7 linked regions of the Kluyveromyces lactis genome follow. The protein of the gene in region 2 purifies or fractionates together with the protein of the main gene of each other region. This does not show direct contact. Links are inferred from orthologs where the notes say so. Each region holds a gene or a part of one and is shown on either strand. Other genes may lie near its edges.

Region 1 (4,912 bases), on a different chromosome or scaffold from region 2:
AATCTATTGTGGAATATAATGCACAATCGATGGTGGAACATATTAGAGATACTTTAGGTGGTGTATCTTTAGAAAACTTGAACAAACTAGCACAAGCTTTGACAAAAAATCGGGCCTTGAATGATGATACTTTACAGTTATTCTTGAACACCAGTTTAACTACTTTGACGTTTTATGACTGTTCAAAGTTGTCATATGAAGGCTACAAGAGACTTGCCATCTTTTCGCCGCATTTAGAGTCGCTTTCCTTACAGATGTGTGGACAGTTAAATAATGAAGCTCTCTTGTATCTAGCCGAAAAGCTACCAAACCTAAAAGAACTATACCTTGATGGACCGTTCTTAATTAATGAGGATACATGGGTTCAATTCTTCGAATTGCTAAAGGGTAGACTTACTGCTTTTCATGTTTCCAATACCCATAGATTCAATGATAATGCATTGTCAGCTATGCTTCGAAATTGTGGATCGTCCTTGGAATCTCTAGGTCTAGCAACTCTAGATACTGTGACAAATTACGCCCTATTACCGCAATATCTTAACTCTCCTAATTTCCACACTTTGATCTTGGAAGAGCCATCTAGAGAAACAGATATTAATGACGAGGTTATTATAAGTTTGTTAGGATCCATAGGCCAGAACCTTAGGAAGTTGTCGCTCAATAGATGCACTGGCTTGACTGATAGCTGTATAATTAATGGATTTTTACCATTTTTGTCTAACTCAGGGCAATCAATCCTTACAGACTTGGAATTAGAAGAATTGGATCAGATAACCACCGACGGCATAGTTCTATTATTCTCTTCGTTGCAGTTCCCTTTGTTGAAAAGATGTAGCTTGAAAAGATGTTTTGCTTTGGAGGATGCAGCCGTAGTTGAATTATTACTTAACTCCTCTTCCACCTTAGAAGAGTTGAATCTAAATGGTCTGAAATCCCTAACATCCAAAACTTTCACCTTCATGGCATGTCCTAACCTCAAGCAGCTAAATATAGGGTTTGTCCACTGTGTGGATAATGAAATTGTGGAAAAGATATCCAAGGACAATGAAAAGCTCACTATTATTGAAGTTTATGGTGATAATCAAGTCACAGGCAAATGCTCTCCTCGGAATGGTGTAAGCATTATCGGAAGGCAAAGTGACAGTATATAAATGATTAAAAAAATTCTAGGATCATGAAAATGCTTGAGTGTGAGAATGCCCTTTCAGCTACTACTTTAAATAATCTATAGACATGTAATCATCAAATTTAGGTTTCTGATGGATCTTTTCTAAATTTCTAAAAGTAGGCAAAGGTGCTGGATTGAGCTGCTTCGATGCAAGCGTCTCTATTATAGTATTTTTAATTTGAGGCTTATCAATGAACAATCCAGGATGACCGTTCGATCTATACTTTTCTGATTTATACCAGTCCTTGGTTAGCTTGGCGTTCGGCCTCCATGTTGGGTTGTTGATTTTGAACCTATTGTGAACTATTGGGTCAAACCCAAAACGGGATTGCGATAAATTGGTTTCGTACTCGGAATAATCTGCATTGATTAGATAAAACCCTTGGAAATCTCGTACGATATCATTGATAACTTTTGTTGGTAATACGATCTCAGTGCCTAATTGATCGACAAACTTTGTTAATCTGGCGATATTTTTTTGAGTCTTTTCAAACTTGTAGTAAGTCAACCAAAATAAGACTGAAGTCTTGATCGGATCCAATTTGGCGAAGTATGTAAAGTGTTTCCTGCATTGAATGACGTTCTTCAATACCAGCCAATGCACTTTTATTAGTTCAACTACCAGTATCGGAAGAGTAGTGTCATTTAGCATGGCAAGCAACTGCTGGGAAATGTCGTGATTTTCCGTATCTGCATTCCCTGATAGGTACGCCTTGATAGTTTTATCCAAAAATGTAGCATATTTACTCTGTTGTTCCAAGATCTTTTTGTCTTCATCATTCAAAGATGCTGCAAAATATCTTCTCTTGTGAAACCTTAAATATTTAATAGTTGAACTTGGATCATGTGGCCATTTAAGCTGGAACGTGTATAGAGCGTCCATATAGTGTTTGGAAGATAATTTATTATATGGATCCATATTACTTTCCAAATATTTGATGTATTTTTGCTTGAAAGATTTATTATCAGCAGGAAGAGCCCGGAGTGCTCTTTCAAACAAGGGGAACGTACATTCGGGACCAAAAGTCCTTTCAGTCCAGTCAATATAGGCTCCCCAGAAATATTCGTATCTTAAACATGGAATCAAACATCTCTCAAACGTCGATTTTATTAATTCTGTACTGAACTCAGTGTTGTTGATTAAGAAAGATAGATAAGCATCCCAATTCTGAATCTCATTCTCGGGAAGCTCAGGGATATTGAAAAATGGCTGTTTTATTTGTGATTCATATGTCCATATTTTGTTCACCTTCTCCTGGTTAGAAATAAATGTGGTATCCAAATGGATGCTTGATTCCCTATTAGCAAACTCTGGGTGATATTCCAAGAATTCCTTAAAGCTGGTGTAGTATCTTGCATATTGATGCAAAGGTTGCTGCATGACTTGTTTGTACACCTCAAATACGTTTTCCCAGTTCTGTAGTCTTGTTTCATATGCAATGTGCTTATCCCAAATATCGTGCGAGAGGAAATGAGATCCCACGAGGGATTCGCATTTCCTGAACTGGTTTCGTATCAGTTCACTATCATTCTGATTATGTGTTAGATAAACGTTCAACATATCAATCCAAAGATCTATCGACGTAGGGAACGAATGTAAAGATGCCTTTAAAGTAGAAATAGACCCTTCTAATCCATCTAGCTGATATTTCACCGCAACGTATCGTTTCCAGTAACCAAAAAATAACGGATACCTTCCCAATAACTCATCAAAAACTTTATATATATTGCTCTTCACATGTTCATTGGGATTATTGTATTTCTGTACCAATGCTTCTGTACCAACCACCAGTTTGTCGATAGTAGTTATATCGTTCCAGTCAACAGAATTATAACTCTGCACCCATTCATCGTTATTCTTCAGAAAAGTTTGGTCTAATCCTTCAAACATTTCATAAAATCCCTAGTTTCCTTCTTAAATTTGATATGCAAACCCCTGCTGCCGACTTCACACTCAAAACGGCTCACGGATAGCAGCTAAAGGCTCTTGTTCTGTTTGGTGGCATCATGCATCTTTAACAGAGATTTATCTTAAAGAATTACAATAATACGGTTCTTTGCAATTTTGAATCATTTTGGAAGCATGAAAGAAAAACAAACAGAGATAAACGCGCCTAAATGAGTGTTTAAAAGGTAATTATTAACTTAGTCGAATTCTGGGAATCTCAGTGTTTTATAGGAGTGCTCGAAATGCAGAATTGGCGTCTCAACAGCGGTTTAAACAGCAATTAATATAGTATCACGTCTCACGAATATGATTATTTTGTTTAAGGTTAATAGATACATCAATGACGGAAGCATTAAAGGTATGTTCGAGATGTAAACAAAGGAATAAACAAGGGAAAAGACCAGGGACAATCTTCGATTATCGATGTCTATACGTCCAGTTGTACTGGATGATGTCGGAGAAACATCATTTGAAGATGTTGAAAGCACATTTACTTATAAAGATGATATAGAGGTACCGAGATTGGCACCTAATTCAGCTACATCCACAACTACGGAAAATACCACATTCTCTAAGGATAAGAGGTATTCATCACACACGGAACTGGCGAGCGATCTTGATGATGATATGAACTATAACAGTGATTTTGAAGAGTACCAAAATGGTACAGACCTACCTCTTGCTGTGGATAGACGATTTAGGGAAAGTTCGGATCAGGACGAGCTAGCTGATTTGCAAGAACAACTGGAGAAGAAGCTATCATTGAACCTGAGAAATTCTAAGACCGGTGGTGGTAGTGGTACTAGAAATGTGGATCAATATATAAACCATGCGGGACTAGTGCGGCCATCGTTGAAGGATTCGGTACGACAGCGTAGATCGATGGTCGATTTGGCAACCCGTAGTAAAGGTAATATTACAAGCTTGAATTCACAGCAATCGCGTCGAGTACCGAACAGCAGGTCTTATATGAACCTTAGACCCAGTTCTGGTCGAACTCTCAGTTATAAGTCATCTATGCCATCGTTAATGAGGTTCAACCGTCAAGATGTGTTACTTGAGGACGAAGATGACGAAGATGACGATGAAGATGAAGATGATGAACCCTATCCATATGTGCCCAGAGTTAGAAGGAGTTACAGGGATCTTGGACCAAGGTTTGGTGAAAGAACTGATGACGGTAACGTTGTCCAAGACATTGCTGTTGAGGCTACAGAAATGGCTAATAATGGAGACGACGATGACGATAATTTCGGTAATGATTTTGAAGGAATTGACGATAACTTCCAGTTCGCTACTAATAACAACAATAACTTTTCAGCATTTGATCCAACATTACGTTTATCACCCTCAGAGTATGATATCGAACATGATGACACTTTATTAACACCACAGCTGCATAAGAAGCATTATGCGTTCGACGCTCCGTTGGATTCGTATAGGGAAGCTCGTCAACAACGGGGTACGGCAAAACAGGCCGCTGCTGCTGCTGCTGTTAACAGACGTAATTCTACAAGAGCTCGTGCTCGTTTAAAGACAATAAGACAAGAAATTGATCTCAACACGCCGTTGAAAAGAGGTAAGATGAAATACAACCCAAGGGAGAAACGATGGGATGGTAATGAGGATATTTTAAGCAGTTTCGATAACATTGAAAATGTCGATCGGAAAGCGTTTATCATCAAGAACAAAAGGTCAAAGTCTCCGTTGAAGACTTCGTCCTCTACTCAAATAGCGGCATCAGGGACGAATGCGGCCTCCTCAAATTCTCAGCATGGGAAGGTCGTGGGAAAAAT
Region 2 (3,799 bases):
GAAAGATTGTCCCCAGTCACCCATACGTGACCCTTTGGAACCCTGATAAAAGTTTCGTAAGCTTCCTCATCATCTTCTTGACTGGGATCAACTAATATCAAATCACCCTCCATTCCAGTTATTCGTTTGCAAACTCTAGATTGTGGATCTGTGGGCTTCATAGCAACTATACAGTCTCCCATCTTTAAGTCTCGTCCGTCCTTATACCATTTCAGAACATGGACGTAATCGTTTACTCTATTCAAGGTCGGTAACATTGATTCACCTCTCGTTTCTGTAAACTCATAGAAATGTGTATGAGTTATATGTATCAAACAAACTGTACGTACCACATAGCTACCAATATTAAGCCAACTCATCACTGCTAACACCAAATAATACTCGGTGTTGTGGATGTTTTCCCACTTTCCGCACTACTAGTTAAATCTTCTCTGGAATACTAGATTTCTCTCATCTCATTATATCAGCATAAGTTCCATTTTCGAACTGTTGAAATAGTTCTTTTGGTGAGAAATACACGTCGTAATCCTCTTGACACACGGAAAGCTTTCCATCCAATAATTGTATCGTACTGTTGGCAAAAATTCCCCAACCTCTGTTGAAGCTAGTATCCTTATTGATCAAATACGCAATGGTGCAATGGGTCGTCAACCTTACCGTTTCCATTATCTCGATCATGTGACACCATAAATCTATCAATGGGTCTACCTCTTGAATTGGTGTGGAAAGCAAGCCACCAATGGTAGGTTCATAGTACTGAGTCAAATTGATAACTACGTTCACGCCAGAAAGAATCGGTTTCCAGTTCTGGGTATTAATGTTCACGAACTCGTAGTTTTTTTTTCTGTCATTGATCAAGTTGATATGAGAATCAAATGTAAGAATCCACTTATCGGATCTTACATCGTCACTTCTATAATATTCTTCCAATCCATATAGAATATCATCCCTGGCATCCCAATAATCTGCATTGATAACTTTAATGCCATATTTGAATATCAATTCTCGACAAATTCTAATTGCGCTGTCATTACCATTACCTCCAATAACTAAAGCAGAAAATACAGGCTCCATTGTTTCTAGCTTGCATGTTCTAATTGTACTACAAATTATTTCAAAAGGATCACCTAAGATAGGAATGATCATGTTTAGAAAACCTAAACTGCCATTTGTGTCATGTTTTGCTTGTGTTATTATATATTTATTTTCAGTATATTTTGTCGTCAGAATTTAAACCTGGCATTTTCAACAAGCTACTTGAAAAGGCGTACTGAAGAAGTATCATTGTTGAACTGACCAACAGAGCAGAAAAAGTTAATCACAGAGTCCAAACTGCACGCAACAGTTTGGTGTTACTTCCATCAGAGATATTTGTAAGTGAGAAATGTCTGCAATTTTAGAACAGCGCAAGCTGATTTCTCAGCTTATGTCTTCGGCTGCCACATCGCATGGGCTAACTTCACCATCAACGTGCAAATCATTTATCATTGGTCATTGCCCCTATGACCTTTTCCAAGAGACCAAGCAGCCCATGGGGCATTGTCCACGTATACATTCAGTCTCGCATAAAATGCAATATGAAAGAGATGTAAAGAAGGGCAAGAAATATCCTGAGTTTGACCTTGAGCATTACTCCATCTTGAAGAAGATTCTTAGTGATTGTGATGTTCAAATTGAAATGGCACATAAAAAGTTACAGCATCATGAGGAACATTCGAAATTAGCAGCACTTCTACAAGCAGTGAATCAGCTTGAATCCAAATGTGCTTTAATGCTTTCAGAAATCGATATGCTTATACAAAACGAAGAAGTTATGAAGGCGATGATTCAAAGCTGTAAATATAACAAACTGCAAACAGAAAGGGACACACTCAGCGAAAAATGCAGGCAAATGAACGAAAACACAGGCCAAAGTGCACAACAGAAGCTACAGGTATGCCGTGTATGTGGAGCCTACCTTTCAAGATTAGACACGGATAGAAGACTCGCTGACCATTTCATGGGCAAACTCCATCTAGGATACGTAACTATGCGTAAAGAACTTGACATGGTAAAAAAGAGATTGCACGAACAAGGGACAGATCTTCACACATATCTCCCGCAAACAAGGAGACATCAAAAAGCAGTATATAGAGGTAAATCTTATCGATCGTGAATGTATAAATTTACACATACACTGAAGCTGTTCATAATGGCAAACATTACCCGGATTTGAGTATTCTAATTGAAATAAAACAATTTCAACTAATAAACATCAAGAATAAGATTAGATGAGAATAGCTGTTATCATCGTAGCATGTTCATATGCACCGGTAACACTGTGGTTTGGTGTGTTCTTCAATTTCAAGTAGGATAAATTGATCATTTTTGACTGTTGAAACATTGTTGAGAAAGCGAACTGACAATCCTAAATCATGAGTTCAGTATTTGGCCAACAAGCGCAACAAGAGAACAGGTTTGCAAACTTGCAAATAAATTATCCTCAGCAGCAGCAGCAAAACCAACAACAGCAGAATAGTTCACAATCACTAGTACAGAGCTCTGCCACGAATGGAAAGGAAGAAAACTGGTATAATATAGCTAGAAAGAGAAACATTCCACAATCCGTGATAAAAAGATCGTCTAAACCGAGCTCATCTGGAGATGGATCTTCGAATGACAACTCTTCCCAAAGATCCGGATTCAATAGCGTCCAGTTTGGCACAAAGAAGCCAACATTCAGCTCTACGCAGCCTGCACAACCTACTGATATCGCGACTTATGTGGAATCGAATGAAGCTCCCCCAACAAAATCGTTATATGATTGGCAACGAGAGGATGAGTTCGGGTCTGTCCCCACTAACGTGAACGCAATGCCTTCGTCTAACCAAATACCTTTGACTCAAGAATACACTAAGAGCACAAGAAACGCATTCGACAGAGATGCGTCGAAATCCCCTGTAAAACCGACAGCGGATCAAACAAATGATATATCAAGACAAAAATCGCAAGAGAGCGCAGTAATTGTATTTGGATATCCAGAATCCATTTCAAACCAAATAATATTACATTTCTCAAAATTCGGAAATATTTTAGAGGACCTTGAGGTTCTAAGAGGTGTTACAGGTAACAACATATCCAGTGCTACTATTAGAATTCGTGCTCAAAATAAGGACTCTAAAATTCCTCATAAGAAATATCCTATCTTCACGGGCGATGGATGGATTAAAATCACGTATGACTCCCCTAGTGCCGCTCTGAGAGCTCTACAAGAGAATGGTACCGTTTATGGAGGTTGTTTAATTGGCTGCGTTCCTTATAGCAAAACAGCCGTAGAACAATTGGCTTCGTGCAAAATCGATAAAACTGATGACATCGGAGAAATCCCGTTCAGTTTATCGATGAAACCAAACGGACCTGAATCATCTGATATACAAAATGGGACACAAGAAAGTGCTGATAATAATAAACATGGGTTCACCTTTTCTACTCGGAAATTGGATGTCAAAGATGGAAAGCAGTTGTTTGTGCATAATGCAAACCCTCCTCATGGTGGTCCAAACTTTTTAAGAAATTTGGAGAACAAGTTACGAGAACAGGAACAGCATGGGAATAACCAACAACCAACAAATTTAATTGGAAGGGTCAACAATTGGTTATTCGGGTGGAACGACCTATAGTCTCATTGTCTTTAGTAATTAGAGATGTATTATGTTTATATAATTTACGGATACCTCAAGAAATTCCAGTGCACCAAACTTCAATGAATGTGAGTATTTGAGTGAATAACTACCGAAATGGTGAAGACGATGAATTCCGA
Region 3 (3,250 bases), on a different chromosome or scaffold from region 2:
CATCGATCGATGGTGAATATTAGAACTACAGAATTAGAAGGAGATTTAGCACAGTTGACCTATGAACTTGGGTTGAAGGATAAGGAAGTCATGACTTTAAAGCAAAGTCTGGAACGCCTCAATGCTGAAGTCGAGAAGCTAAGAAACGAGAACAGAGGCTTGAAAAGCGAATTGGAACATTGGAATAAACTACCGATGAGTCCAATATCTTTGTCTTCAGAAAACGATCAAACTGAGGACGATAAAAACCGAATGATTCAAGAGAATTTGCGGAGAGAGATTCTTTCCTTGAAGAATGAAAGTAATATTTTATCAGAATGGATCAAGACCCTTATTTCTTGAATTTCTTCAAATAAATATTCTGAGCCGTACCCAGAATTGCGTATGCCAAACTAAAAAATACGGACCATTTATCTGGTGAAATGTATCTTTGAGCAATTGACATCAATACCGTTGATGTTGCCAAGCTGGAAGACAACATTGCCGCATATCTTGTCTTGATTGCGTGTATAATTTTTGTTTTGTCAACCTTACCGTTGTTAACAGAAGTCAAGGTAAATAGTAACCCTAACACTTGAATAGGCGATACCATGCCTAATGAGCAGCCTAACTGGACCAAGCTTCTATATTTGGATACCACTTTCCTAATTGTGTATTCGTTTATCCATTTGTAACTGAAATGATTAACTGGTGCGTTAAATAGACCACCATATAGACTCATCAATGCCACTTTGATCCAATTTAGCTTCTCTTTTCTTTCCTCTGGAGACAGACTAACCCATTGACTGAACAGTTCGCTTAACCCAGTTAATACCGCGCCTGTTATGCATTTAGTTAATAACGGGTTACGTTTGAGTAAAATATTATATCTCTTCAAGATTACTGATGACGACATGTTTACTCTTGGCGTTAATCTTTAATACTCCCAATCTCTCGATGCGAGCAGCAGTAACCTTGAAAGCTTGCGATCCATGAGATATGAAAAGAGTAATATCTGACTTTAACATCTATATATATATATATATATATATATCCAGATTTTATCAAAGCAATGACTGACAGAACGTTTTGTTATCGCTTGCATGGATAGTTTCTTATCGCACTTCTCCGTGTATCTGTTAACCATTTAACATGAGATGCAACGGATCTAAATACTTTTTGGGTTCCATGTAAGATTCGAACACATGCTCGCTCGAATGTAAGAAACCATTGGAATCTCACGCAAATGAGTTACCCTGTTAAGGCACGTGATAATATGAAATTTCCACTCTTTTCCAGGAAAGAACGACCCCATTGATTCTTGAGTATCAATTTGAACCATTTCATCCATCATTATGTAGAATATGTCAATTGAGTAACTACGATCAAATCCTGATCTTTTATCAAAATCAGGAAGTTGCTTGTGGATCATCTGTTACTTTTGCAAAATTCAAAACTCTTTTTCATCAAAACCATTTGAAACTGGTAACAGCTTTCTGGTGTATCTTTAGTCCGATTGAAACAACGAAGTTTTATATACAGACAAAATGCAGTTAACAGGGTTCTTAAAGAAACTAAAGAATGAAAGGGTGTCTATAGAGTTGAAGAATGGTACCACTGTTTGGGGAATAGTGAGGAGTGTGTCACCGCAGATGAACGTCTCTCTTACTGACGTCAGGCTGACACTCCCTACTAAGACCTCAGAAGCTACCTTGGCTGCCGTCTTATTGTCAGGTGGATCGACACAAGGACAAGAATCTAAGAGAACAACTAGCCTCGAGTTCATCAACATTAGGGGTAATACGATAAGGCAGATTATTTTACCAGATAGTATCAATTTGGATGCGTTGCTTGTAGACCAACAGGAAGTCAACAGGTTGAGGAAACAAGGTAAAGTGGGAAGTGATCCGAATAAGAAGAGATCACTTGAGAGTAACGGGAATGCTCCTAAACGTCCAAAGAGGGCATTTTAATATACATCAGAAAACATATGTGGAAATAAATATGTAGTGATGTTATGGACTTTGTTTTGATGAATGATTAAACACTATTGATAATTATCTTTCATAATGAATAGCCGTTCTTTCCAGTCGATGCCTCCAAAAAAAGAAAGAATGGAATCAAATTTGATCACTGTCATCTCTTGGATCAGAGCTGGAGTCCGAGTCGCTTGAGCTCTCATCGTCCTCTTCATCGTCCCATATTTTACACCAATTGCATTTTCCTAAGGGGATGCCCCAAATTTCATTCCTGTCGCATAACCAGTCTATCAACTCATCGAAATGTATCAATTTAATCTCTTTTTTAATCGATGATGACCAACAATCCATATCTAACGAGTAACTTTTTAATTTTCTATGATCAAGTATATATTTCTTCATTAAATCATGTAATAAATTGAACGATATATCTTGCTCGGAAGGATTACTCTCAGTTAAGAAATAATACGAGATTCTCATATAACATAATACCAGTGCTGCAATATACTTGTTGTTTAAGGGTTCATGCGGTTCTAGTAATACTTTTAGTTGTTCCCACGGAGGTCGCAGGTTGATCAATTTCATCAATAGACATTTGAACTCTATACCACCTAAGACAGTCACATGCGGGGTTTTCCGCTCATCCATAGTCCCGAAATCTCTCACAATAACAGGTATAAGTTCGACAATGGTATCTCCCCTCAAACTTGCGGGCGTTAAATTAAATTTATAATACATGCATGACGATACCTTATTTCTAAATATTTGAGGAACTACCAAAGACGCTGATTGGTGATTCAATTGCTTTCCAGACAAGTTCTCCTCCACGTAGAATTCGTTAGGCATTGTGTGTGTTATGAATAATACTAAACTGTGTCGAAGACAGTAGCAGCTGAGCTCTTTTGTTCTTTATATTTGATATCTGCCCTCTATCAAATTGGTTTCTCATTCATAATGATTTATAGTTCTTGGTGATATATATAATATTTATATATATTTGCAGAGCAATTTGATCTAGATAAGCAATATACATGCATGGTGACTAAATATTTACAGGTGAAAAGAACAACCCATGTTGGTCTTAGGTGTGTTTAGGATATGCGTGATGGGGCCAGAGGTAAGGGGGGAGTGAACCTATCAGCACCATTAGAACCAACTTCTGGTATTTTGGTTTTGTTTCTTTTCTAATCTTCTTTTGTACTTGGAACCCTTTGCTTCGAGAATGTATTTATCGGCATTCTTAATAGCCTCCTCCATCTTGGCTACTTTTCCTTCTAGTAGACGTTCGTGCT
Region 4 (3,163 bases), on a different chromosome or scaffold from region 2:
AGTGAGAGAAGGATCTGCGATTCATATCGAATTGGTAATCCTGTTTCAAATGCGATGACGGGCTAGAATTATTGACACTACTTGCAGAATTTGAAGGAGACGTCGACAGTAGCGTTTGCCCACTATTTATTGCATTATCATGATTATCGTGGAAAGTAGTCGTACCAAGACTTTTCCTTCTAAAGTTCCCGGTACTCACCAAAGATCCCCTTCTTGACCCAGACGTAGAACGAATATTCATATTCCCAGATGGGCTGCCTATCCTCAAACTGTTCCTCCGTGACCCATGGCTACTAGGCCTATTATTAAAAGCATTGCTGCCATGGTAATTCAGAGGAAATATCTTCCGACTTGAACTGGTATCCTTTATTGATTTAGTATAACTTCTGGGGAACCAGCCCCTCAAAACCAAGCTCTTATTATAATATAAAATACCGTCCCACCAACCTGAGTCACTCTTCGATATAACGTAGATAATATCACCGGCAAAAAACCGTAATTGAGATTTCCTTAGCGGATTAAAGTCATACTGCGCTATCACTATGTCCAAAGGTTTTATAATTGTAGACAATCCAGCTTTTGGAGGATTCATTCCCTCGTCCTGTGGCCTTTCCATTGTCAGTTGTGAAAGCTATAGAATAAAAGCACACTTCACACGCCTCTTTTTAATATATAACTCTTTGACAATAGTACCTAACGTTGTCCTGTGATTGTTTTGATGTATTTCAGTTAGGTTTTGCGCTTTGACTTATCCCTGTGATATAAAAGAGCGATTTGACTAGTTTTTTAAAAGAGTTCATGAAAGTGAAAAATAAAAAAAAAAAAAAAAAATATGAAGAAATATCATTCGTGAAATATCCAAACTGAGTATTCGTTACGTTAAAACGGCAAAAATAGTGATTAGCAGTATACTGAATTTGGTAAGGCAACCCCTTAGCTGTAAAATAAGGGATGTATTGGGTTGTATGGTTTGAGCCGTATTATGTATTGATATCTAGTTCTATAGAGGATTAAACGGTTCTTTTGAGCTTGAATTACGTATTTTGAGTATGCGCCGTTTGGAATTCGACATATAAAAACTAGGGAGAATCCGGGCACAGATCAGAAAGTTACATTGGTTCAATGCGGTAAAGGCTTCACAGAAGATTAATGCATCTTTGTCCTGATATTTGATCAGATTATTAGCTCTATAACCCTTTTACTTGATGCTTTCAGTGGCAGCGAACATATCAGTACACGTGACTTCAGAAAGGATGTTGATGGGATGATAAAAACAGGTTCATGTCTTTACCACTATAATCACTGAGTCCCCTCTAAGAAAGAGTTTCGCTACGAATCGCTCTCTGTTAACCTTCTTACCATTTACATTCTCTGTCCATATTTCTTTAACGTTTTCCAGAACCATGTTACAGTGCTTGTCAAAAGATTTCACACGAGCTATGAGTTTATGATTGTTCCTTAGTGATATTATAACAGGTGTCCTCTGTAGCATTGATTCCCTGATTAGAGACATGGGTCCATATTTCATTTCGAATTCTTCTAGTTGTGTTAGCTCGTCTCTAGATAGTTCAGACCTTGAAAGGTCTGTCTTTGGAATATATGTATCGGCCATCGTGTTTTAGGTCAATTTTCTAGTATATGTAACAGACAAATCCTGAAGATAAGTCCTTGGCTTATGATATTTGCAATCTCGTAAGTTTGTGATAACTTGTCCTGATTGCCATATGATATGAGAGGTTCCTTCTTTGGTCATCTCATCATCTCATCCTGTGCATCAAACCCAATATACCATCCAGTTGTTTTCTTTCGGATTATCCAATTATCATTATCATTATCCGGGTAATCTTACACTATATAAATATCAACACATAGTCGCTGAAATTCCTTATACACAGTGGTACATATGAGTTATAGACAATGTTCAAGGAGGGGTTCCTGAATTTCATTTGCAACTTCATACTCCACTTCTATAAATATTCTGACCTTGATGTCTTAGTTGAATAGAATCATGTCTTTCTAACAGGTATAACGCCTTATCTAGCGCATATTGGGGAAGTTTCTTGTTCACAACGAATTCCCTTTGCAAAGTTTTGTAACTTGTAGACCATCCTATTGGCAACCTTCTTTTCAATTCAGATTCGATTCTTCTAATTTGTGAGAGCATTGTTGTATCATTTTCCTGGGAGTTGATAGGATCCTGAGAGGCAGCATCCATCGTAGAAGCTTGGAATAATCTAATGGCTTCATCAACATGTTTTTCGGTCGCTACTGGATTCAGTTCTAATTTAGCTAAAGATTCTGTGATACGAATTATGGCTTCTAATTGACGAACTGTGATTGGAATGGAAGACCTCTCATTGGAATGTCTTTCGGACTCTTGTAATTGTTTTCTAATAGTGATGAAATGAGAAGATAATTTTGTGGCTGCTTCAGGAGATAACCTGGGGGCACATTTTAACCTACAGTAACTAACATATCTCTTCATAGTTTCTATTGGAATTTCGTTGTTGGAGTTGGAATTATCATTTGGATCGTTTTGTTGAGTTCTTCCTGTGTGAATGTTCATGACGTGGTTCGCAATTTGGATATCTCTAGCTTCATTGTGATCATCTTTAACAATGAAGATCATATCGAATCTGGACAAGATGGTAGTTTGGAAATCAATGTTTTCACCCGGTGATTTCAAATCATCATATCTACCGTAAACAGGGTTTGCTGCAGCTAAGACACTAGTTCTAGAATTCAAAACGGTAGTGATACCGGCTTTAGCAATGGAAATAGTTTGTTGTTCCATGGCTTCATGGATGGCAACACGGTCCTCGTCTCTCATCTTGTCAAATTCGTCAATACAGACAACACCACCATCAGCAAGCACCATTGCACCTCCTTCTAGGTAAAATTCCCGTGTAGTTGGATCTCTTTGGACACTTGCCGTCAAACCAGCTGCAGAAGAACCTTTACCAGATGTATATACCGAAATCGGAGAAACTTTTTCCACAAATTTCAACAGTTGGGATTTTGCAGTACCAGGATCACCAAGCAGTAGCACGTTGATATCACCTCTTAGTCTCATACCATCTGGTAACAATTTCTTCGATCCGCCCATAAGGAGACAAACGATGGCTTTCTTGATATCAGTGTTACCATAGATACTGGGAGCAAT
Region 5 (3,515 bases), on a different chromosome or scaffold from region 2:
AGGAACTAAACGATTCAGGAAAGAGACGAAAGAAAGATAGTGGGGGGAAGACATGACAAATCGTGGTAACTACCCATATATATATATGTATGTATATTTAAGTACACGGTGTATTATGATGATGATGATGATTACGGTGCTTTGGTAAGTTAAAGTGGGTTGGATTTCCACCATCTTACGACAAAGACTGAACAGCTGGACAATTAGAAATTAATGACGAGACTCTATGAAAGCAACGGAGCTTGAATTTGCACAAAGATTTTTTTTTTATTCAGGTAGATTACTCCAGGGAGAATAATTTTTCCGAAACAATCAATGGTAATTTCTGGGGGAAATTAGTGGAAGCCTCACACGGAAAATCTCGAAGTGGTTTTTCCGGGATGCTTGAACAATCAGTAGGACTATTTCTCCGGATTCCTATAAAAAAAACACACACTCATGATATCGTGGCATGCGATATATTTGTTGTTTTTGCGAAACTTGCAAACTCTAATTCTTGCCCGTTCTCAGCTGAGAGATATTCCGCACCATGATTGTCCAGTTGGAAGCCATATTTAACACATAACATTTCTTTTGTCCGCAGGGCTATGGTGGGGTCATGGGGTATATCTGGAGGTTTCGTATAGGCATTTGGTGGGGTGGTTGAAAAGGGAATGAGGTGGATAATCATATTTCGCACAGGCTTTTAACGTTGCGCAGTACAGGGATATCATTACACTGGATAAAGCTAGATAAATTCTATATCTTCTTGTTCTAGTCGTTACAGTGGGATATCCAAAGTCCTCTGCGTGTACGTAAGAGGTAACTAAAGACATATCTATCAACATGTCTCGGATAATTATAGCTAAGATCGGTGATCGTAGCACCAAAACAATTTTTTTTATATCAATAAGTATGACAAGTTGTTCGCTGGTTTAGTTTCTTTTTTTGAAGCCTGGAGGGGCTTGGAACCGGCTGGGGCGTACCTGACTATTAGAATTAAACCTACTGGGAGCTCCAGAATTCGTATTGATAGGTTTATGACTTGGCTTCGTAACTCTATTTGAACTTTCTGAGTTAGTTGAAGTTATATTAGATCCATTCGTTCCAACGTTCATCTTGTTAGAAGTCTTCCCTTGACGAGCCTTTTTCGCATTATCTAATTTTTTTGCATTCTTCTTCTGGACTTCGATTCGTTCCTTCTTAGAGAGTTGGGGAGGTGACTCAACCGAGGTACTCAACACATGCTCACCCCGTAAAATTATTAGTCCAAAAGTCCTTCTTTCGACTTGCACATTGCTTGACAAGTTTCCTCCACTTTTAAGTACTTCTATGATTTGTTTATGAGGCATGCGTTCCTCTACACAATCTCCCATTACAAGGTTCATATATGCATCAAAAGCCATAAGTTGGCCAATATAAACCCTTCCGTCATGGGTAGCGACTCGTATTCTATAATCTATCAAATCTGATAGCTTCGTTTCCTTCTTTTTAACTTCAACTTGCGACATCGTCCTTGTATCTTTTGTATGATATGCTTAGAGATATAACTATTCTTCTTGGTGAACAAAGAAAGTGAAAAAGACTGTAAACTCGATTGTAAGAGGTATCCTTATATCATGCACAAAAAAGCGGTCCGTAGCAGTGATTCTTTATAGGACCAACGCAAGTTACTCATTGATCGTGAAACTAGTTAATGTTTTAATTTTCGATACAACATGATAGTTAGAATTCATCCACTATGCGGCTATGAAAAAAAATGATCACGTGGAAAATTATGTTTCTTTGGGATTTGAGATAATATGAATTATATTTGGTTCGCAAGATGCGAAAAGGAAACAAATACTGGTAAGCATCTTTAGATCAAAAAAAGCATTGCGTGAGCCTAGGTCGTACTCCTCGAACATCAGCACACTAATCATATCAACAGATACAAAGTTTGCAAATATGGCTGAAGAAATTAAGGATAAGCAAGAATTTCAAATAGGTGCAGAAGAGCCTGACTCTTCCAACGTTGCTTCACAAGCTAAAAGAAGTGCTGAAAGTGAGCTTGCTTCTACCGCTGATGCCAACGATAAGAAATCTAAAAAGAAGAGAAGAAGAAGAAACTATGATGATTTGGATGAAAAAATTGCTCAAGAAGACAAGGCATCTGCTACTTCTGGTGCTAACAAGGAAGAAGATAGTGAAAGTGAAGTCGATGACGAAAAATTAGATCAAATGATGGTAAAAGAAGATGAAGAAGAAGACGACCTTTCAGAAATCGATAGTTCCAATATTATAACTACTGGTAGGAGAACTCGTGGTAAGATTATTGATTATAAAAAGACTGCCGAGAAATTGGAAAAAAATGGTGAGGTTGGCAAGGATGATGATGATGATGAAGACGATGAAGAAAATGACGAAGAGTTCAAGGATCCAGCTGCTCCTGCCCCTGCCCCTGCTAGTCCGACTGAACCCAAATAGAAATTTGAATTAAAAATTTACTCAAGCGCATATAAAAGTTTGTAGTTTCACTAAATCTCCATGTTTGACATTATGGTAGTGTTTCATTTAAAAGAACAATGGATACGACGCAATGAACTGAGAAGGTATTTTGCAGTTAAGAAGTTTCAGGATGTCCTTCCAAACAGCTAGTATTTGCATAATTATGGCAGTCAATGTTATATACATAAAACAAGTGTCTAACTTAATCGGGATAAATGTCCCAGTCGATGATAATTCTGCTTCCCTTTTTCTTTCCGGGGCTTATACTTTCTATATAAACACCCTATAAGGAATGACCATAATACACGTTTAGAATTCCTAACAGCAGTTGTTTGTACTCTTTTTGTGTTTTTCGTTTGGTGCCGGTGTCAAAGAGATCGTAGGTCCCTTTGGAGCGTTGGCATTGTTTCCTGAGGCGTCATTCAAGTCTAGTTGATTTTTGGAAATCATTTGGTAGATAGCAGTAATCAATGCTCTGAACGCTTCGTCAACATTGTCAGCATTCAATGCACTAGTTTCCGTGAAAAGAAGTTGATTTTCTTGAGCATAATTCCTAGCCTCATCTGTTGGAACCGCACGTTTATGATCCAAATCAGATTTATTACCAATGAGTCCAACAGCGACATTTTCATCGGCATTTTGTTTCAATTCAGCCAACCAGTGGTTACAATTTTCGTAGGAACTTGATTTAGTGATATCATAAACTATTAAAGCGCCAACTGCCGCCCTGTAGTATGCTGTGGTGATTGCGCGGTAACGTTCTTGGCCAGCAGTATCCCAAATTTGGGCCTTTATCTTTTTACCTTCCACTTCAATGGTCCTTGTAGCAAACTCTACACCGATAGTAGTCTTTGAATCAAGGTTAAATTCATTAGCTGTGAATCGCGATAGCAAATTGGATTTACCAACTCCAGAATCTCCAATTAGCACGACTGTTAATAAGATAATCGTATCCAGCAAACCACAATAATACGGTTTTTTGATATAATTTTCGGGTTAGTAAAACAACTGCTCATTTTAGAAGCATAAGATTATTACCACCACCCTTG
Region 6 (4,884 bases), on a different chromosome or scaffold from region 2:
TGCGTGCTTGAAGAAAGCGAGAACGTGGATGGTTCTGCCACTGTCAATGAATCGTAATTCAAAGTAGTTTTCCAACTGCTCTCAGTGCTGGAACTGGTCTCGGTACTCTGAATGGATCTAGTAGAGTTATCAGAACGAGAAGTCTGGAAAAAATCCAGGAATCCTTGGGCAGATACTAAAAAGTTGCCCAAGAATATAACGGTTAACAAAAACCTTAAATTGGAAAATTGCATCGTGTTAAGCGAATGAAATCAAATGAAAAAAGAATGTAAAATAGTTGGAAAAGTAATCAAAGTTTTGCCGAAGGCCTTAGTTCAAACCTGAGATTCTCAAAGTTTTCTAATGACAAACCGGCAATCCGTAATAATAAGTAATAATTTTATATCACCAAACAATGGGACGGGGAAAAAAAAAACAGAGATCGATAGTACACTTCAACCTGCCTGAAGCTCTTGTCACGTTCAAAGTATAAGCTCACTAAACAAACGATGGCAGTTTCCTAAAGACTGAGGATTGGAAGGTAATTTGGATCAGTAGGTCAGTTCTGATAATCTTTCTTTATTAAAAACCTCTAATAGATCCTTCTTATCAAATGTATAAAAAACTTATAAGTAATTTGAGATGAATCAATAAATGAATGAATGGAGGAACACAAAGAAAAGAAAGATGTATACACCAAAATATTACCACTGGTAACGTTCTTTGTTGAAAAGTTTGACCCTGACGATAAATCTCGAATCTAAAAACTTATTATCTTTTGCCTAAAGCAACCCGAACGAAAACAGAAACTAAATTCCACCATTATCAGGTGTGTACATAAGTTACAAGTAATAGAATCTCTATGTTTGTTCCTTTGTTTATCTCATCCTGCCAATTCTTCCTGTAACCGTTCTGGATCTGGTAAAAAATTGGTGAAGTTGAGAATGTATCGCTATATACGATATACAAAACGCGAATCAATATGAAACACGATTACCCGGACCTCTAGTAACCTCATGTTACCGCCCGATCTGGCTGGAACACTCGAATCGGGCGAAAAAATTTCGTGACAGTCACGTGAGACGTAACCGGGTAATAGAATCTCATTATTAGACATGTGACACACATACCTACATATACATATATATGTATATTCACATGTATGGTATATTCCACTACTGTTCCATCGCTTCCCATATACGGCTCACTAGGACAGGGCTATCTTCGTCGAACGTCTCTGTAAGCTCAGTCTCGAGTGCCTGTTTCGATTGATGTTCTTCGATGTTTTCAAAGATATATGAGACTAAGTCGGGCTCGTAAACTCCCAAGTATTCTTTGACGAGTTCTTCCACTACGCCGCTTTCCCTTAGTAGATTCAACTTCTGTTGGAACGCATCGGTTTCAGGAGTCTCTTCCTCTTCTATCTCATTCTTTGTCTTTCCAATGGATTTCTTTAGTGCTAATTTAATCTTTGGTGCAGCCGTTGTCGCATCTGCGTCCGATACCAATTTTGTCTCTGTCTCTGTCTCTGGCTCTAGCTCTAGCTCTAGTTCTGTCTCTGGCTCTGTTTCTGTTGCTTTTTTCTTTGGTACTTCTTCAGATTCCCGTTTACGGTCCTCTTCATCTGCCTTGGATTCAGATTCCTTGTATGGCCTGTGATGGTCGTGGTAAGGATCCATGGCAAGATGTAATAACTCTTTTAACATAGGACCTTTGTTCTTTTGTAAATGCGTTTCGTAGTTTTGTAACCTTTGGTATTCTTGTCGTAGCGATGAGTATTGGACCAGTAACGAATCTTGGAAACTATGAACCATGGATTCATACTGGGCTTCTTGCGCATCTCTTTCCGCTTGAACTCTTTTTTTTTCCGCTTCGTAATCGTCCGCATCTTCATCATCGTAACCCTCAACCTCGTCGTCTGAATCTTCAGAGTCACTTTCAGCTTCAGGGGCTGAACCTTTTTCCGAGCCTCCATTAGTAACCTTGATACGGTCAAATATATGCTTCAAGTTTTGTTTCCTCCGTTTTTCTTCCTCCGCTAGCTCTTTATTCCGTTTCTCTTTCTCTAACGTAATGACACGAGTTCTAAACTCAACAATATCCTTACACAATTGGTCTAATGAGGAACTCGGAAGGTCACTCAACGTACTTATATCCACGTTATACTCAACGGCACTATTTCCAGCCAACCCTTTCTCCTGAGATATAGAGCCTGGTTCAGATCTCAACATTGTAATTAATGCGGAGAACTCATCTTTTGCAGTTTCATCGAGTTCCTTAGCAGGAGAACCTTCCGTCAGATCGCAAACGAACCGTCTAGTGTTTTCATCCATGTGAAGTCCGATCCCATCTGACCCGTTGTCAAACAATTTCTCAAGTAACTGTATCGCTTTCCCATATTCTTCCACTATACTTTCCTGGAAACTTATATATACCGTCAACGTATTCACACAATCGACGTAACTCCATTGTTTGATAAATTTGGTCTCATTATCTTCAACTTGCAGCTTTTTCCGTATTAGATTGTCTAGTCTGTCCATAACTTTATCAATACCCTTGGATCCAAGTCCCAGTGGAAAATGTGCTAAACAAACGGTATGCAACTGTTGTTCTAACGAAATTGGTAAAAAGGACTTCAAATCAACATAGCGTGAAGTTGAAGTCTTGAATTCATCAGAATTGTCCGTTTCATTAGTCTTCGAGGCTACTGAATTCCCTTTATCATGGTCTCTATGGCTGTTGGCTTGTTTCAACGACTGTTCAAATTTGGGGATATCACTCTTCAAAATCGGCACATATCCTGGCTTCGGCACCTGTGATTGCCAGTTCTTCGTGTCTCCACAGCAGTATAATGTGGGCGACACAAACAATACAGTATCCATTAGTGAGTTAAACACGTTCGGCCTAGTAGTATCAGCGTTTATTTGCTAACTCATCGCTGAAACTTTACGTCTACTCTCTCGATATATATATTTCAAGATTTTTCCAATTAATTGATATTTACAAAAGACCAAAGTTAAACACACTGTACGTTATTTATATGATATCTGAAATTGAAAGATCGTTACTCACCTGCAGGGCCTCTTTCCAGAACTTGCTTAAATGTCTAGAGCCACTGTCACATGCAATGATGCAAACATTTGAACCCTTCGGTAAGTTTTCCGCATATTTCAGCACTGCGACTGCATTGATTGCAGTACTGGCACCAACGAATAATCCGTCATTTACACATAAGAATTTGGCCATCTTAATAGCTTCCTCGTCTGTAATTCTGATGGAATCATCTATATAATTTTCCGCTTTCAGAAAGTTGTTTGTAATTCTGTTAAGACCAATTCCTTCCACTAATGTGTCCACTTGATGTCTTCTTCTTGTTCCTTCTTTCTCTACGTTATCGTACATGACACCGTATTTGATTCTATTGTAGAAACCCGAGCCTTGCGGATCAGCCAACACAATATGTACTTTGTCACCTCTTTTCTCCTTTAGATAACGAGAAACACCGGCCATGGTACCACCAGTACCGCATCCCGTGATGAATGCATCCACTTCCCCATTTAATTGTAGATAAATTTCAGGTCCTGTCGTTTCGTAATGGCATTTCCAATTGGCCTCGTTCTCGAATTGATCTGCAAATACACCAACACCCTCAGTGTACTCTTCTGAACACGACTTAGCTGCATTTACGTATTGGTTCGGATCCACTATACTAGCAGGTTTTACCTTGTTCACTATTGCACCAAGTGCAGTTAAAAGAGAAAGTTTCTCTTGGCTTGTATCGTCCGGTAGCGAGATATGGCATGAGTAACCCAACGCGTTACAACATATTGCAAGGGATATACCTGTAGATCCGCTTGTTCCTTCAAAGATTCTATTTTTCTTATCACTTGAACCCTTAATACCTTCCTGCGATGAGATGGTTTTGATAATATTCAAGGCAACTCTGTCCTTTGCGCTACCACCTGGATTATTTAACTCCATTTTGGCAAAAACGTTCAAACCAGTATAATCGGAAAGAGATTTAATTCTTACCATTGGTGTATTTCCTATCAAGTCTTCCACTCCATCCTTTGGTGGTGATAGAGCAGTTAATGTAGTTGTCTTAACCTTATATGCATAGTATAACGATGCAACAGCCACGAAAAGGGATGTTACACAGGCATAATCCTTCCATCTGTCTGCAGCAGTCATCGTTACGGAGCTAGATCAAAGGATAACAGCATGCGCAACTTTCGCTAGACGACAAATACTATTGTTGATTAAGAACTTCTATTATAAAAAGGATTTCAACTAACTAAAAACTGTTACAATTTGTGTGTATATTATCTTCGAGTTAAAGACATCACGTGAGTCTGACCAGGGAGGAGTCTAGAAAGGAGAAGGAGAATATGTGATTAGAACAATTAGTGTCACACTCAATCCTTGTTACCGATAACTTGTTTCACTGGTTCAGTTTGGTTTACGTACAAGCCATGCTCTTGAATATATCTGATGACAGAATTTGGCAGTAAATACTGAACCGACATTCTCCGTCGGATGAATAACCTTACCTTGGTGGAAGAGATATCATTATAGATCAACTGTTTAATGACAAGGATATTCCTTCTGTGTTCGTACATGATATCGTGAGACAACAAGAACGAACGAACATCTGAACCTGTTCTTTCCACGATGAGACAGCCGTAATTACCCAAAATATGATGTAAATCATAATCTGCCCAGACGTTAGGTTCGCCCATGGATTCTATCAAATCACCACCGGCAAGAAGCATGATCTTAACACCCATTCTTTCTCCGGCGTCATTTTTGATGACACCTTTCCGTTTCACATTAATTTCTTCGTTGAAATGGTCCAACACCATTGCCGTTCTAGTGTAAGTTGGTTGTAACGATTCCCAAGCATCA
Region 7 (4,757 bases), on a different chromosome or scaffold from region 2:
CAATACATGAAGATACAAATATGGAACGGTTTTTGAGAACTGTACAGGATCGCAGAAAAGAGATTAGAAAGAAGATTAGAAAATATTTACGGAAAAACTATACTGGGTGGGCCAATTTGAAACTCAATGACACTCTTGACCTATGGGAGAAAGGCACCATTTTCAACCATGAGGTTGATGAAGCTATTAGTAATGTTGGATCACCGAATACTAGACCAATGCCCCGTTCCAACTCAGAAACGAATTTCCAGCATCTTCAAAATATTCCTAATATTTCGTTGAACGAAACCAGCCCGCAGGACCCTAGTGAAACAAAATCAAGTACCTCCCTATTCAGTCCACAGGCGCAACATTTATATCATAAATCAGACCTTGAATTGAATTCCCCAATTAGTGATGAGAGCCTTTTGAGACCAAAGGACCGGATGGAGACACTAAGATCAGCCAGTGCAGATAATATACGCTTGATGACGGAACAATCAAGTATGTTGGATGACATGTCTGCATTGAACTTACAACTTGATAACGGAATTTCAGCAGAACCAGAGGATCAGTGGGAGTCCAAGTTAAGGGTGTTCAGATATCTAACTGATCCAAATTTTGCGACTTCGAATTTCGAACTAGCAATAATTCTCATCACCACACCAATTGTTTTCTTTCTGACTCTTATAATACCCCTTCACTATTCGTCAATGTCAGGGAGTAACTTTTTCAAAGCTGCGTACTATTGTCAGTGTGCATTCTCCCCGTTCTTGACTCTTCTGTTGGTACAACGTGAATTTAACATTTGGTTATTTACTCTTGGCTTAATTGTATCCTGTATTTTACTTTTGATGTTCTTCAAATGGAAACTAACGGTCAAGGAAAAATATATCTCTTTATTTGGATTTGTTCTTTCAATTTCTTCCATATCATTTGTTGTTGGGTTGGTGCTTGACATTTTAACGAATTGGGCGGAGACGTTCAATCTCTCAGAAGCTATACTTGGTTTGACAGTTTTTGCGTGGGGAAATTCTATTGGTGATTTGGTCTCTAATGTCACATTCACCAGAATTGGAGTATTGGAGATTGCATTGGGTTCCTGTTTTGGTAGCCCTCTACTATATTTCCTATTTGGTGTTGGTGTAGATGGCATGCTCGTCCTTCTTCAGAGGGAATACCCTGAAGGTACAGCAATATGGAGTAGGCACATAGATTTCGATGTTAATCGTGGACTAGTCTTCAATTGTATCGGCATAGTCATAGCGTTTGGCATATTTATTTTTGTGGTCCCCCTAAATAATTGGAAGTTAGACAAGAGAGTTGGCTGTTTACTCTTATTCCTATATGGAATTATCACTACTATAAACGTCTATTTTGAATTGAATAAGTGAACTTGTAGACATAAACTAATTAAATAGGAACTTTCATCTGTCCCTGATTTGTGTAGGCTTCAGTAAAGAGTTCCATATCATCTGGCAAGTAGTTTGAAATAAACAATTCTACTTCAGACAAAACAGCCTTACCATACTTTGCAGCAGATGGAATGATATCATTTATAATATGCTTCCGCCTCTTTAAATAGGTGATATTATTATCGTACCATACTAGAGAACAATAAAGGTACCAGAACTTTGGATTTTCCAGGAACGATTTCCATTTGCTATTGATTATGTGTTGATAAACTTTAGTTTCAACTAAAGCACGCGGAAAACGCTCGTACATTTCATTTACCATGTTCAATAAAATGTATTGTCTGTTATGATCATCTTCTTTACTTGCCTTTTTCATCAATACATCCAGTAAATTGTCGGAGAATTCGATGTTGTTTGTTAAACCACTGAAGCGACTTTTTGAATTGGCAGAACTCAAGAACAAGTTGAATTGTATGTAGTCAATGAATATTTCGAAATCATCGGAAGTAGTTAGATCATTTGAGAATGCGAGTGAAATATCATCATATAATTGATGGAGTTCTGAAATCTGCCCTAATCTAATGAGAACCGAGGATAACATTGTGACAATCCTGGAACGCTTGTGAACGTAGGATAAAGCCTGTAACATCACGTTTTTGGCACCAATGAAATCGTTCAAATCATCAATTAAATAGTTGGCGTACTGCAACCATATATGGTCATAATGAGCTAAAGGGAGCACAGATCGCTGAAACTGAAGCTTGATTAGGTCTGAAATTTTCTTTTCCCTGATATATTCGAAATATTTCGTCCAGACGATGATTTCCTGGTGTGGAATAAGTTCTTCCGCAGACATGTAGTATCTTTTGGTGATCTTACTTTCAAACAATTCATATATCTCCATAACTTCATACTGTACGACAAGGAATAACTCTTTAGAAACTTTCTTCAAAGCTTTCTTGGCGACTTGCAAATGTGGGCCTCTGCGACCATTCAATTGTGTGTCTATCTTCAACTTTTTCCATAGCTCTTTATCTTCCGCATAGAACCTTAATTGTGAAAGATCTTTAACATCTTCAATGGTTTGTAGCCACAAATCATAAAAACTGGAATATTCATATAACGGTATTTCTATCACTTTTCTTAACGTTCGAATGTAATGTTGCGGTGTCTTGCATCGCAGTTTTATTTCGTTAAGATACATGTGCCAAAATTCAGCACCGAAGAAATGCAATCCAATGTAGGATTCCGCAAAGGCATATTTTTGGAAAAGTTGCTTATCACTGGGCATAATTTTATTGCAGATCTTCAAGTATTCTACCCATATTAACAATGACCTATTGTTGAAATACTGAAGAGCATTCTCGAATATAGCGTGAAACTTACCAAAATTCCCTAGTTTATACTCCAATAGTCCGTATTCGACATGATAATTCTCCAAAAAGGGGAACTGGTAGAGTAATGATTCATATGTCGATCGTACTAGCTGAAGAAGGTCTTTATTAATAGATTTTGAGATAGGTGATGCCTTCAGCAATAAATGATTCAAAAGATTCTCCCAATGGTGCAAACTTTTTGGATATTTGCATATTAAGAGACTGAATTCAGATAGCTTTTGATCACCTAATAGATTAAGATCATCTTCCATTTCCTTTTTCACAGTACTGGCAGAGCAACGATGATTTCAGTGCGTTTAGCTGCGTGCTCTACTTTGTTATGTTGGCTCATGAGTTAAACTACGTGTATATATTTCATGTTCTTGATAATGGTCATTTTTCTATTTTGCATCTATAAACAAAGAAATAATTGAACAGACCTACAACTGACATGGCAAAGAGATCTTTGTTCGGAACTCATTCCAATTCATTGCTTCATCGCAGTATATATATAGGTTTGTTTTATGCAAAAAGGGTCTTAATTAAGTGCATGTTTTTTCTATGATTAAACATTATTTGAATAAGTAAATATGCAAATTCATACATCAGGATAAAATTAAAAGCGTAAACGGAAACAAGAGAAGACATTAATAAGTGAATTATAAGGCAAGGGAAAAGGGTGTTTATATTGAATGCCGAGAGTTCATGCCCATTCAATTTTCTTCCACTCTCGTGTTTTAGAAGGAATGTTCGTCATTAAGTGATTTTGTCAAGATTGATAGAGTCTAAGATCTCTTTGGCACCATTTTGGGTTAGTTTAGCAGCAAGTTCTTTACCACAATTTATACTATCTTCCCTTTCGTTAGAAATGGTGACCTTATGTTCGATTTCTACCCATTCAGTACCTTCGACGTTGATAACAATACCTTTTAAGGTTAACACTTTTGTACTTTCGTCGTAGTTGGATACAACACCAATTGGAACTGAGCAACCACCTTCTAGAGTTCTGAGTAAAGAACGCTCGGCTAGACAGCAGATAGTCGTCGAAGGATCACAAATTTCTTTTAGAATTTTTTTCATCTTCTCGTCATCTTTTCTGATTTCAATACCAAGCGCACCTTGACCGACTGCGTAGCACATTGTGTCAGCATTAAAACGCTGGGTAATTCTAGAATCAAGTCCACTTCTCATTAGGCCGGCACTGGCCAAAACGATACATTTGTAAGGAGTCTCTGGATCATCTAATTTCGCCAGCCTGGTTTGAATATTACCTCTGATACTTTCGAATTTCAGGTTTGGAAATTTTCTCTTTAATTGAGCAGATCTTCTTACTGATGAAGTTCCGACCACCGAGCCGTCAGGCAACTCTGACAAGCTACTGTACGGAGAACCAATTGGCATGACTAGAGCATCTGTAGGATCTACACGTTTCGTGATACCGCCTAATTCGAATCCATCAGGTAGAAGAGTTGGCATATCTTTCAATGAATGAACAATCAGATCGATACGAGATTCATCATCTTTGTACAATAAATCTTCTAGTTCTTTCGTCCACACAGCCTTCCCACCAAAAGAATACAAGGGCTTAGACTGAACTTGGTCGCCAAGAGTGTGTACAGATAGAAGTGGACATTCGATATGGGAAAATTTCGACTCAATCATGACTTTGACTTGCTCAGACTGAACAACAGCCAACTTCGAACGTCTGCCACCAATACGAACAGTTTCTTTAGATTCCATTATGATAGCTTAATATATAACTAAAACCCAGTACAACACTTTAATGAATGTACGATGTTATCTTTCACTTTTAAAGCTGAGTCCCTTTTGTTAAATGATTGAATAGAGATGGAGACCAAACTGTCTATAATACAGGTATTTTAATCCGAACAGGAACTTTATAAGAGTTAAAAACACTTCAATGACTAGCAATCAGACACGAAATCAATAGAATCCCTTTATATTTACAAGAACGGTGGATTCTGAC

What was found.
Region 1: the proteins of LUC7 (region 2) and PRP39 purify together in Saccharomyces cerevisiae (affinity purification with mass spectrometry, with the first as the bait; 3 studies listed by BioGRID). This does not show direct contact. The link is inferred for Kluyveromyces lactis from reciprocal best matches to the Saccharomyces cerevisiae genes LUC7 and PRP39.
Region 3: the proteins of LUC7 (region 2) and SMD1 purify together in Saccharomyces cerevisiae (affinity purification with mass spectrometry; 3 studies listed by BioGRID). This does not show direct contact. The link is inferred for Kluyveromyces lactis from reciprocal best matches to the Saccharomyces cerevisiae genes LUC7 and SMD1.
Region 4: the proteins of LUC7 (region 2) and SMD2 purify together in Saccharomyces cerevisiae (affinity purification with mass spectrometry, with the first as the bait; 3 studies listed by BioGRID). This does not show direct contact. The link is inferred for Kluyveromyces lactis from reciprocal best matches to the Saccharomyces cerevisiae genes LUC7 and SMD2.
Region 5: the proteins of LUC7 (region 2) and SMB1 purify together in Saccharomyces cerevisiae (affinity purification with mass spectrometry; 5 studies listed by BioGRID). This does not show direct contact. The link is inferred for Kluyveromyces lactis from reciprocal best matches to the Saccharomyces cerevisiae genes LUC7 and SMB1.
Region 6: the proteins of LUC7 (region 2) and SNU71 purify together in Saccharomyces cerevisiae (affinity purification with mass spectrometry; 7 studies listed by BioGRID). This does not show direct contact. The link is inferred for Kluyveromyces lactis from reciprocal best matches to the Saccharomyces cerevisiae genes LUC7 and SNU71.
Region 7: the proteins of LUC7 (region 2) and PRP42 purify together in Saccharomyces cerevisiae (affinity purification with mass spectrometry; 3 studies listed by BioGRID). This does not show direct contact. The link is inferred for Kluyveromyces lactis from reciprocal best matches to the Saccharomyces cerevisiae genes LUC7 and PRP42.

What each region holds. Positions count from the first base shown.
Region 1 is NC_006037.1:711,808-716,719, forward strand, and holds PRP39 (Prp39p), read right to left. Parts: upstream 3,060-4,912; coding exon 1,212-3,059; downstream 1-1,211. Other genes in the region: UV-damaged DNA-binding protein RAD7, read left to right, coding at 1-1,151; BFA1 (Bfa1p), read left to right, coding at 3,540-4,912. UniProt on the Saccharomyces cerevisiae protein: Function prior to stable branch point recognition by the U1 snRNP particle to facilitate or stabilize the U1 snRNP/5'-splice site interaction. Has a direct role in the assembly or function of a catalytically active spliceosome.
Region 2 is NC_006042.1:688,142-691,940, reverse strand, and holds LUC7 (Luc7p), read left to right. Parts: upstream 1-1,384; coding exon 1,385-2,155; downstream 2,156-3,799. Other genes in the region: endopeptidase catalytic subunit IMP1, read right to left, coding at 1-359; KLLA0_F07271g (uncharacterized protein), read right to left, coding at 451-1,146; FG-nucleoporin ASM4, read left to right, coding at 2,415-3,659; NUR1 (Nur1p), read right to left, coding at 3,769-3,799. UniProt on the Saccharomyces cerevisiae protein: Component of the U1 snRNP particle, which recognizes and binds the 5'-splice site of pre-mRNA. Together with other non-snRNP factors, U1 snRNP forms the spliceosomal commitment complex, that targets pre-mRNA to the splicing pathway.
Region 3 is NC_006040.1:320,190-323,439, forward strand, and holds SMD1 (mRNA splicing protein SMD1), read left to right. Parts: upstream 1-1,526; coding exon 1,527-1,952; downstream 1,953-3,250. Other genes in the region: KLLA0_D03740g (uncharacterized protein), read left to right, coding at 10-342; KLLA0_D03751g (uncharacterized protein), read right to left, coding at 332-895; U4/U6-U5 snRNP complex subunit PRP38, read right to left, coding at 2,100-2,804; MRPL25 (mitochondrial 54S ribosomal protein mL59), read right to left, coding at 3,105-3,250. UniProt on the Saccharomyces cerevisiae protein: lays a role in pre-mRNA splicing as a core component of the spliceosomal U1, U2, U4 and U5 small nuclear ribonucleoproteins (snRNPs), the building blocks of the spliceosome. Also binds telomerase RNA and is required for its accumulation.
Region 4 is NC_006040.1:781,305-784,467, reverse strand, and holds SMD2 (mRNA splicing protein SMD2), read right to left. Parts: upstream 1,613-3,163; coding exon 1,280-1,612; downstream 1-1,279. Other genes in the region: Ras family guanine nucleotide exchange factor CDC25, read right to left, coding at 1-616; MCM DNA helicase complex subunit MCM5, read right to left, coding at 1,955-3,163. UniProt on the Saccharomyces cerevisiae protein: Plays a role in pre-mRNA splicing as a core component of the spliceosomal U1, U2, U4 and U5 small nuclear ribonucleoproteins (snRNPs), the building blocks of the spliceosome.
Region 5 is NC_006038.1:47,609-51,123, forward strand, and holds SMB1 (mRNA splicing protein SMB1), read right to left. Parts: upstream 1,491-3,515; coding exon 915-1,490; downstream 1-914. Other genes in the region: CHZ1 (Chz1p), read left to right, coding at 1,927-2,445; Rab family GTPase YPT31, read right to left, coding at 2,785-3,398. UniProt on the Saccharomyces cerevisiae protein: Plays a role in pre-mRNA splicing as a core component of the spliceosomal U1, U2, U4 and U5 small nuclear ribonucleoproteins (snRNPs), the building blocks of the spliceosome.
Region 6 is NC_006039.1:1,598,814-1,603,697, forward strand, and holds SNU71 (Snu71p), read right to left. Parts: upstream 2,862-4,884; coding exon 1,155-2,861; downstream 1-1,154. Other genes in the region: MSB2 (Msb2p), read right to left, coding at 1-233; MCY1 (putative cysteine synthase), read right to left, coding at 3,016-4,170; nicotinamide-nucleotide adenylyltransferase NMA2, read right to left, coding at 4,395-4,884. UniProt on the Saccharomyces cerevisiae protein: Component of the U1 snRNP particle, which recognizes and binds the 5'-splice site of pre-mRNA. Together with other non-snRNP factors, U1 snRNP forms the spliceosomal commitment complex, that targets pre-mRNA to the splicing pathway.
Region 7 is NC_006039.1:1,318,979-1,323,735, reverse strand, and holds PRP42 (mRNA splicing protein PRP42), read right to left. Parts: upstream 3,043-4,757; coding exon 1,393-3,042; downstream 1-1,392. Other genes in the region: YCX1 (Ycx1p), read left to right, coding at 1-1,373; HEM3 (hydroxymethylbilane synthase), read right to left, coding at 3,527-4,510. UniProt on the Saccharomyces cerevisiae protein: Essential component of the U1 snRNP particle, which recognizes and binds the 5'-splice site of pre-mRNA. Together with other non-snRNP factors, U1 snRNP forms the spliceosomal commitment complex, that targets pre-mRNA to the splicing pathway.